Macaca fascicularis: one gene and its partner. The protein of the gene in region 1 purifies or fractionates together with the protein of each later gene. This does not show direct contact. Links are inferred from orthologs where the notes say so. Each region holds a gene or a part of one and is shown in the gene's direction. Other genes may lie near its edges.

Region 1 (2,727 bases):
CACTTTGGGAGGCTGAGGCCAGCAGATCACCTGAAGTCAGGAGTTCAAGACCAACCTGGCCAACAATGGTGAAACCCCGTCTCTACTAAAAATACAAAAACTAGGCCGGGCGCGGTGGCTCAAGCCTGTAATCCCAGCACTTTGGGAGGCCGAGATGGGCGGATCATAAGGTCAGGAGATCGAGACCATCCTGGCTAACCCGGTGAAACCCCGTCTCTACTAAAAAATACAAAAAACTAGCCGGGCGAGGTGGCGAGCGCCTGTAGTCCCAGCTACTCGGGAGGCTGAGGCAGGAGAATGGCGTGAACCCGGGAGGCGGAGCTCGCAGTGAACTGAGATCCGGCCCCTGCACTCCAGCCTGGGCGACAGAGCCAGACTCCGTCTCAAAAAAAAAAAAAAAAAAAAATACAAAAACTAGCCGGGTGTGGTCATGCAGGCCTGTAATCCCAGCTACTCAGGAGGCTGAGGCAGGAGAATCACTTGAACCTGGGAGGCAGAGGTGGCAATGAGCCGAGATTGCACCACTGCCCTCCAGCCTGAGTGACAGAGTCAGACTCTGTCTCAAAAGAAAACAGTTTTAAAATGTATCAATTTAAATGCTGTCTCCTGTCCTGAGACAGCCACTATTTGTGGTGTTGTCTAGGCTTTTAGAATTCTTTCTGTGTTTATAAACTATGTACATGGCCAGGTGCAGTAACTAGTGACTCCTTCCTATAATCCCAGCACAATGGGAGGCCAACCAAGGCAGGAGGATTGCTTGAGCCCAGGAGTTCAAGACCAGCCTGGCCAACATATACTCCATCTCTACAAAATAAAAATAAAATGTGTGTACATCTAAACTTCAGTGTCTTGTAAATAGTACATGTGGTTTCTCTTTGCAGTGTCACTATTAAAATCTCAGTTGCACATGAAGTGTACACCTTGCTGTGCATTACGTCACATGATTTACCACATAAGCTGTGGGGGTGTAGGAAGTGGTCCCTGTTTTCAGGGTGAGATGAATGTCAGCTGACCCATGCTTCTGTTTTCCAGGATGTGTACTCTGGCACACCCACCAAGGTTAGACATATGGACAGTCAAGTGGAGGACGAGTTTGATTTGGAAGCTTGTTTAACTGAACCCTTGAGAGACTTCTCGGCCATGAGCTAACTGCCACCTGGCGGCCAGGAAGAGAAACAGCTCCTCCCCGACTGGGTGGAAGGCTGGCCAGGCACCAAGCATGTGTGTGCACTTATACCTGGTGGTTTCTCTGTTAGTAGTCCATTATCTCATGATGAATTATTTTTGCCTTACTTTCTTAAGAAACATTAATAAGAAACATTAATTTTATGTATAGTGAGTGTATTTTGCATGTTTTAAATTGTAAATGGCGCTAAATCCAAGAAAGTGTACTTGAAGCAATCTTCCAGCAAGCTTAATTGCATAATCCCTGTTGTCCTCCAGGGTAAGCTGACAGGCCTACTTAACTGGTTTTCCACAGGCACTTCAGTTGCTGCTTGTCAGATGGACTGTTTTGGATTTAACCATGTAATCCATGGGACCAATTGAGAGTCAGCTACTTTTATAGGCATCAAAGTATTCTCAGACACCTTTAATATCTTTATGGAAACTTAGTTTTTGGCCTTTTACCAGTATGTCATAACAGCACTCTGAAGTCAGACATTGTTAAATTGAGCTATTAAACTAATGGGTTTTATGTAAGTTATATGGTCTTAATTTGGTACTTGTAAATAGCACTAGTTAGATTCTTTAGAATACTCCAAGAGTTAGGGCAGCAGAGCAGAGCGATTTAGAAAGAACATTTTAAAACAATCAGTTAATTTACCATGTAAAATTGCTGTAAATGATAATGTGTACAGATTTGCTGTTCAAATATTCAATTGTAAACTTCTTAAGACTGTTTTGTTTCTATTGCTTTTGTATGGGATATTGCAAAAATAAAAAGAAAAGAACCTTCTTTAAGTGACTGAGGGTGTTGCCAGGTGGCCCAGCTGCCATGAGAGCGAGGGTCAGAGTTGTGTCTGCCTTTGTTGTGTCTGAAGCGAGTGGCACTGGGTAAAGGGCTTTCTTTATTTATTTAATGTTAGTTTTTGATAGTTTTGCTCTTGTTGCCCATGCTGGAGTGCAATGGTGCGATCTTGGCCTGCTGCAACCTCGGCCTTCTGGGTTCAAGCGGTTCTCCTGCCTCAGCCTCCTAAGTAGCTGGGATTACTGGCATGTGCCACCACGCCCAGCTGATTTTGTATTTTTAGTAGAGATAGGATTTCTCAAGGTTGGTCAGGCTGGTCTGGAACTCCCGACCTCAGGTGATCTGCCTGCGTCAGCCTCCCAGAGTGCTGGGATTACAGGTTTGAGCCACCGCGCATGGCCGGGGGCTGCCTTTCGTAGGTGTCATGTCATACTTGGTCTGATGCTTATCAGCACTGGTATGGCAGCCTTCCCTGTCTCCTGGGACAGACCCTGTGGCAGGACAAGCATCAGTCTGAGGGTGCCCCTCCCCCACTGTCTTCACCCTTGGACCCTGGCTGCTGCCTGCAGACCACTGGCCCATGACCACAGCCACATGTCCTGGAGATCCCTCCAAGTGATTCTGGGCTGGTCTCAAGCCAGGGGTGGGCTCAGGTAACTTTGTTCTAGGAGGTTGAAGAGGGCAGAAGCCCTTGTTTACTTAGCTTGTTTATGGAGACCTCAAGCAGTGTCAGGTGGAGGGTGGTAGACACGGGTTGT
Region 2 (4,312 bases), on another chromosome or scaffold:
TTCTTACTTTGATTGGTTCCTACCAGCCACATAACCCCTCCCCATTTTCTCTGACTGGGCAACAGTCAGCAGACAGACAGGCTAAAGCTGTTTGTTTGTATGGTTACTGTCCTCTGTATGGTTTCTTTTCTCTTTTTTTTTTTTTTGAGACGGTTTCTCTCTTGTTGCCCAGGCTGGAGTGCAATGGCACAATCTCGGCTCACTGCAACCTTCGCCTCCTAGGTTCAAGCAATTTTCCTGCCTCAGCCTCCCAAGTAGCTGGGGTTACAGGTGCCCACCACCATGCCCAGCTAATTTTTTTGTATTTTTGTAGAGACGGGGTTTCACCATGTTGGCCAGGCTGGTCTTGACCTCCTGACCTCAGGTGATCCACCCACCTCGGCCTCCCAAACTGCTGGGATTACAGGCGTGAGCCACTACACCGGGCCCTTTGTATTATTTCTTTTTTCTTTTTCTTTTTCTTTTTTTTGAGACGGAGTCTTGCTTTGTCGCCCAGGCTGGAGTGCAATGGCATGATCTCGGCTCACTACAATCTCTGCCTCCCGAGTTCAAGCGATTCTCTTGCCCCAGCCTCCCAAATAGCTAGGATGACATGAGATGATGCACAAGCTGCCACACGTGGCTAATTTTTGTATTTTTAGTAGAGATGGGGTTTCACTATGTTAGCCAGGCTGGTCTCAAACTCCTGACTCCAGGTGATCCACCCACCTTGGTCTCCCAAAGTGTTGGGATTACAGGCGTGAGCCATTGAGCTCGGCCATGATTTCTTTTTTTTTTTTCTTTTTTTTTTTTTGAGACGGAGTCTCGCTCTGTCGCCCAGGCTGGAGTGCAGTGGCCGGATCTCAGCTCACTGCAAGCTCCGCCTCCCGGGTTCACGCCATTCTCCTGCCTCAGCCTCCCGAGTAGCTGGGACTACAGGCACCCGCCACCTCGCCCAGCTAGTTTTTTGTATTTTTTAGTAGAGACGGGGTTTCACCATGTTAGCCAGGATGGTCTCGATCTCCTGCCCTCGTGATCCACCCGTCTCGGCCTCCCAAAGTGCTGGGATTACAGGCGTGAACCACCGTGCCCGGCCTTTTTTTTTTTTTTTAATTTAAGTTCAAGGGTACATGTGCATAACGTGCAGGTTTGTTACATATGTATACTTGTGCCATGTTGGTGTGCTGCACCCATCAACTCGTCAGCACCCATCAACTTGTCATTTACATCAGGTATAACTCCCAATGCAATCCCTCCCCCATCGGCCATCATTTCTTGTAAGTACCATGCGCTGATTGCACCACTGGAGTCACTGTCCTCTGTATGATTTCTGATCTCTTTCACTTCAAGCATATGAGAGTGCTCTACTCTAAATATCTCAAGTTCTTAGAAGCAGGTGGAGGCAAATGTGATAAAGCAGCAGCTCTAGGCTCCCCTCATATCTCTACCCCTAGATCCGGGTGCTGTGGACTTGGAGAAAGTGGCCAATGTCATTGTGGACCATTCTCTGCAGGACTGTGTGTTCAGCAAGGAAGCAGGACGCATGTGCTACGCCATCATTCAGGTTGGGGGTCGGGAGAGTAAAGGAAGCTGCTTTGAGGAAAGTGCTTCAGGAGTGGGCAGAGGCCTGGCCTGCAGGACAGAGATGCATAGGGTCTAGCTCAAAGACATAAAGAGGCATAGGATGGGTGGGGTTGCAGGGGCACCGCCCCCCACCCTTCACCTTCCTCTCCCTGGCTCACAGGCAGAGAGTAAACAAGCAGGCCAGAGTGTCTTCCGGCGTGGACTCCTCAACCGGCTGCAGCAGGAGTACCAGGCTCGGGAGCAGCTGCGAGCACGCTCCCTGCAGGGCTGGGTCTGCTATGTCACCTTTATCTGCAACATCTTTGACTACCTGAGGGTGAGGCCCCGGCAGCCACCCTGGGAGGCGACATGGCCTGTCACCCGAGGCCCAGGTTGGACTGTTTCCCTCGGCCACTAAGCCTGGTGCTCTGACCCCTCCTCTCCCTCACAGGTGAACAACATGCCCATGATGGCTCTGGTGAACCCTGTCTATGACTGCCTCTTCCGGCTGGCCCAGCCAGACAGTTTGAGCAAGGAGGAGGAGGTGGGTGGCCCCAGCCCCGGTACAAGCACAGAAGGCTGCGGGATGGACAGTCTGGCTCAGCCGAGTGTCAGCTCACTGCTCATGGAGGCCTTTTAGGACGGTGTCACTTCTGGGGCAGGAGTGTGGGGGTGTTTAAGGCCTGTCAGAATTACAGGACAAGCTGCCAGGTCTGGAATTTATCCAATACAGACAGCAGCCAAAACCTACTGGCTCAGCAGCTTCCTTCTCAGTCAGAAAGCCAATCTCTGATGGCAGCTGTGCGAGCCATGGCTAGCTGTGGGTACAGATGGCCCCAAAGCCAAACCAGGGTCAGGCAGTGTGAGGAAGGCAGGAGAGCGGGATGAAGGAGTGGTTTGGAGACAGGCTTGAGTGGAGCCTGGCCAGACGAGGGACCTCAGGAAGTCCCGGAACTCATTTCTTTCTGTGTAAGATGTGGAAGTCTGCTAGGAGCCACTGAAAATGCTTGAGTAAGAGAATGATACCATCAGCACAGCACAGCTGGCTCCTGCAAAACTCTACTAACACTGCAGAGCTGTAAAACCAGTCAAATTCAGACCATTAGTGATAGCTCTGCTTCAGTGGTGAAGAAGTACCCACTGGATGGTGAGGAGGGAGCAAGGGAATGAGTGTAAAGGCAAGGCACAGCACCTGGCACTTGGCAAATGCTGTGTGACAGGCTGACCCTGCCCCAGTTCACTCGTGTTACCCCCCGCCGTCCCCTGCAGGTGGATTGTTTGGTGCTACAGCTGCACCGGGTCGGGGAGCAGCTGGAGAAAATGAATGGGCAGCGCATGGATGAGCTCTTTGTGCTGATCCGGGATGGCTTCCTGCTCCCAACTGGCCTCAGCTCCCTGGCCCAGCTGTTGCTGCTGGAGATCATTGAGTTCCGGGCGGCCGGCTGGAAGACGACGCCAGCTGCTCACAAGTATTATTACAGCGAAGTCTCCGACTAGGCCTCCAGATCAGGGCTTCCTTGCCAGCACTGGCCTTTCTTCTACACACCTCTGAAACTGGCAGTGGAGTCTCTGCCTCACCCAAAGACTTTTCCCTTCCAGACTTTGAGTGTCTTCCCTTCTAGACTTTCCCATCTCCTGGTGAGATGTTTCCCACTTATGCCATGGTCCTGCCCTGAGCCCCTTTCCCCACCACCTTCCCTCAGGGCCAGGCAGAGAAGAGCAACTCCTAAGAGCCACTGCACTGTGTAACCATTAGTGCAACTACTACCTTGGTGCCTCAGTTTACCCATCTGTAAAATGGGTAAGCATAGCCATTGGGATGCTTTGGGATGTCAACGGGCGGAGGCAGAGCACAAGTCATACCAGAAACTGCTTTTTATACATTTTGTACAAGGACAACTCTGGAAGCAAGCCTATTTCCTCCAGCCAGTTTCAATGAATGCTGCACCACATGCTACACCAGTTCAGCGTGAGAAGTTTCTAATAAATCTTTTCTAATACTAAAACTGCTTCCTTTTATATCCAACGGTCCACCCCAAGCTAAGGGAAGAGAAGACGGCCCTGAGTTTCCTGGAGGAAATTCCCAAGTCAATGTGCTCTCTCTTTATAAGGAAATGGGGGCAGAGAGAGCAAGTTCCAGCCTCAAAGAAAGAAGGATTCGTGGATAGTGAACATGCTGCTCCCTCTTTCTCATGAGGCCTGCCCACCCTTACAAAGGAACCACATCCCTAACCCACAGGGAGCTTTCAGCCTGGCAGTGGCTCACACTGTTTGCTGCGGCAGAGGGCCCTGGGCTCCTCCTGGAGACTCTACCACCAGCGGTAGTGGGCCAGGGCACGGTTGGCCTCTGCCATCTTGTGCATTTCATGCTTCTTCTTGATCACAGGGCCCCGGTTATGGAAAGCCTCCAGCAGCTCGTGTGACAGCTTCTCCGGCATCAGTGTCCGCCGGTGCTTGTTCTCCCGGCACTCCGTGATCATCCACTTCATGGCTAGGAAGCGGCGGCGCTGGTCGGGTAGGGGTACAGGGACCTGGGGAGACAGGACATAGGCAAGTTGGTCCAAGAGTCTGCCAGGGTTTGGGGCCTCCTGCCTAATTCTAAGGAGTAGCCACACGTTCCCTCTGGACCAGCCCTGGTCAGGCCTGGTGAGAAGGGCCTGTCTTGTCTTCTTTGAGCTTCCCTCACCTTCAGGTGACCCCAGTGCAGCAGACATAAGAGGCGTTCATTCAGCAAACACTCATTAAGCACTGGCCTCTCCAGGCACAGTGG

Evidence for each region.
Region 2: the proteins of SLBP (region 1) and MIF4GD purify together in Homo sapiens (affinity purification with western blotting; 3 studies listed by BioGRID and IntAct, with this or other methods). This does not show direct contact. The link is inferred for Macaca fascicularis from reciprocal best matches to the Homo sapiens genes SLBP and MIF4GD.

What each region holds. Positions count from the first base shown.
Region 1 is NC_088379.1:1,832,796-1,835,522, reverse strand, and holds the end of SLBP (histone RNA hairpin-binding protein), read left to right. Parts: intron 1-1,032; coding exon 1,033-1,149; 3' UTR 1,150-1,957; downstream 1,958-2,727. UniProt on the Homo sapiens protein: RNA-binding protein involved in the histone pre-mRNA processing.
Region 2 is NC_088390.1:81,653,115-81,657,426, reverse strand, and holds the end of MIF4GD (MIF4G domain-containing protein), read left to right. Parts: intron 1-1,433; coding exon 1,434-1,543; intron 1,544-1,723; coding exon 1,724-1,879; intron 1,880-1,993; coding exon 1,994-2,086; intron 2,087-2,811; coding exon 2,812-3,039; 3' UTR 3,040-3,548; downstream 3,549-4,312. Other genes in the region: MRPS7 (small ribosomal subunit protein uS7m), read right to left, coding at 3,852-4,073. UniProt on the Homo sapiens protein: Functions in replication-dependent translation of histone mRNAs which differ from other eukaryotic mRNAs in that they do not end with a poly-A tail but a stem-loop. May participate in circularizing those mRNAs specifically enhancing their translation.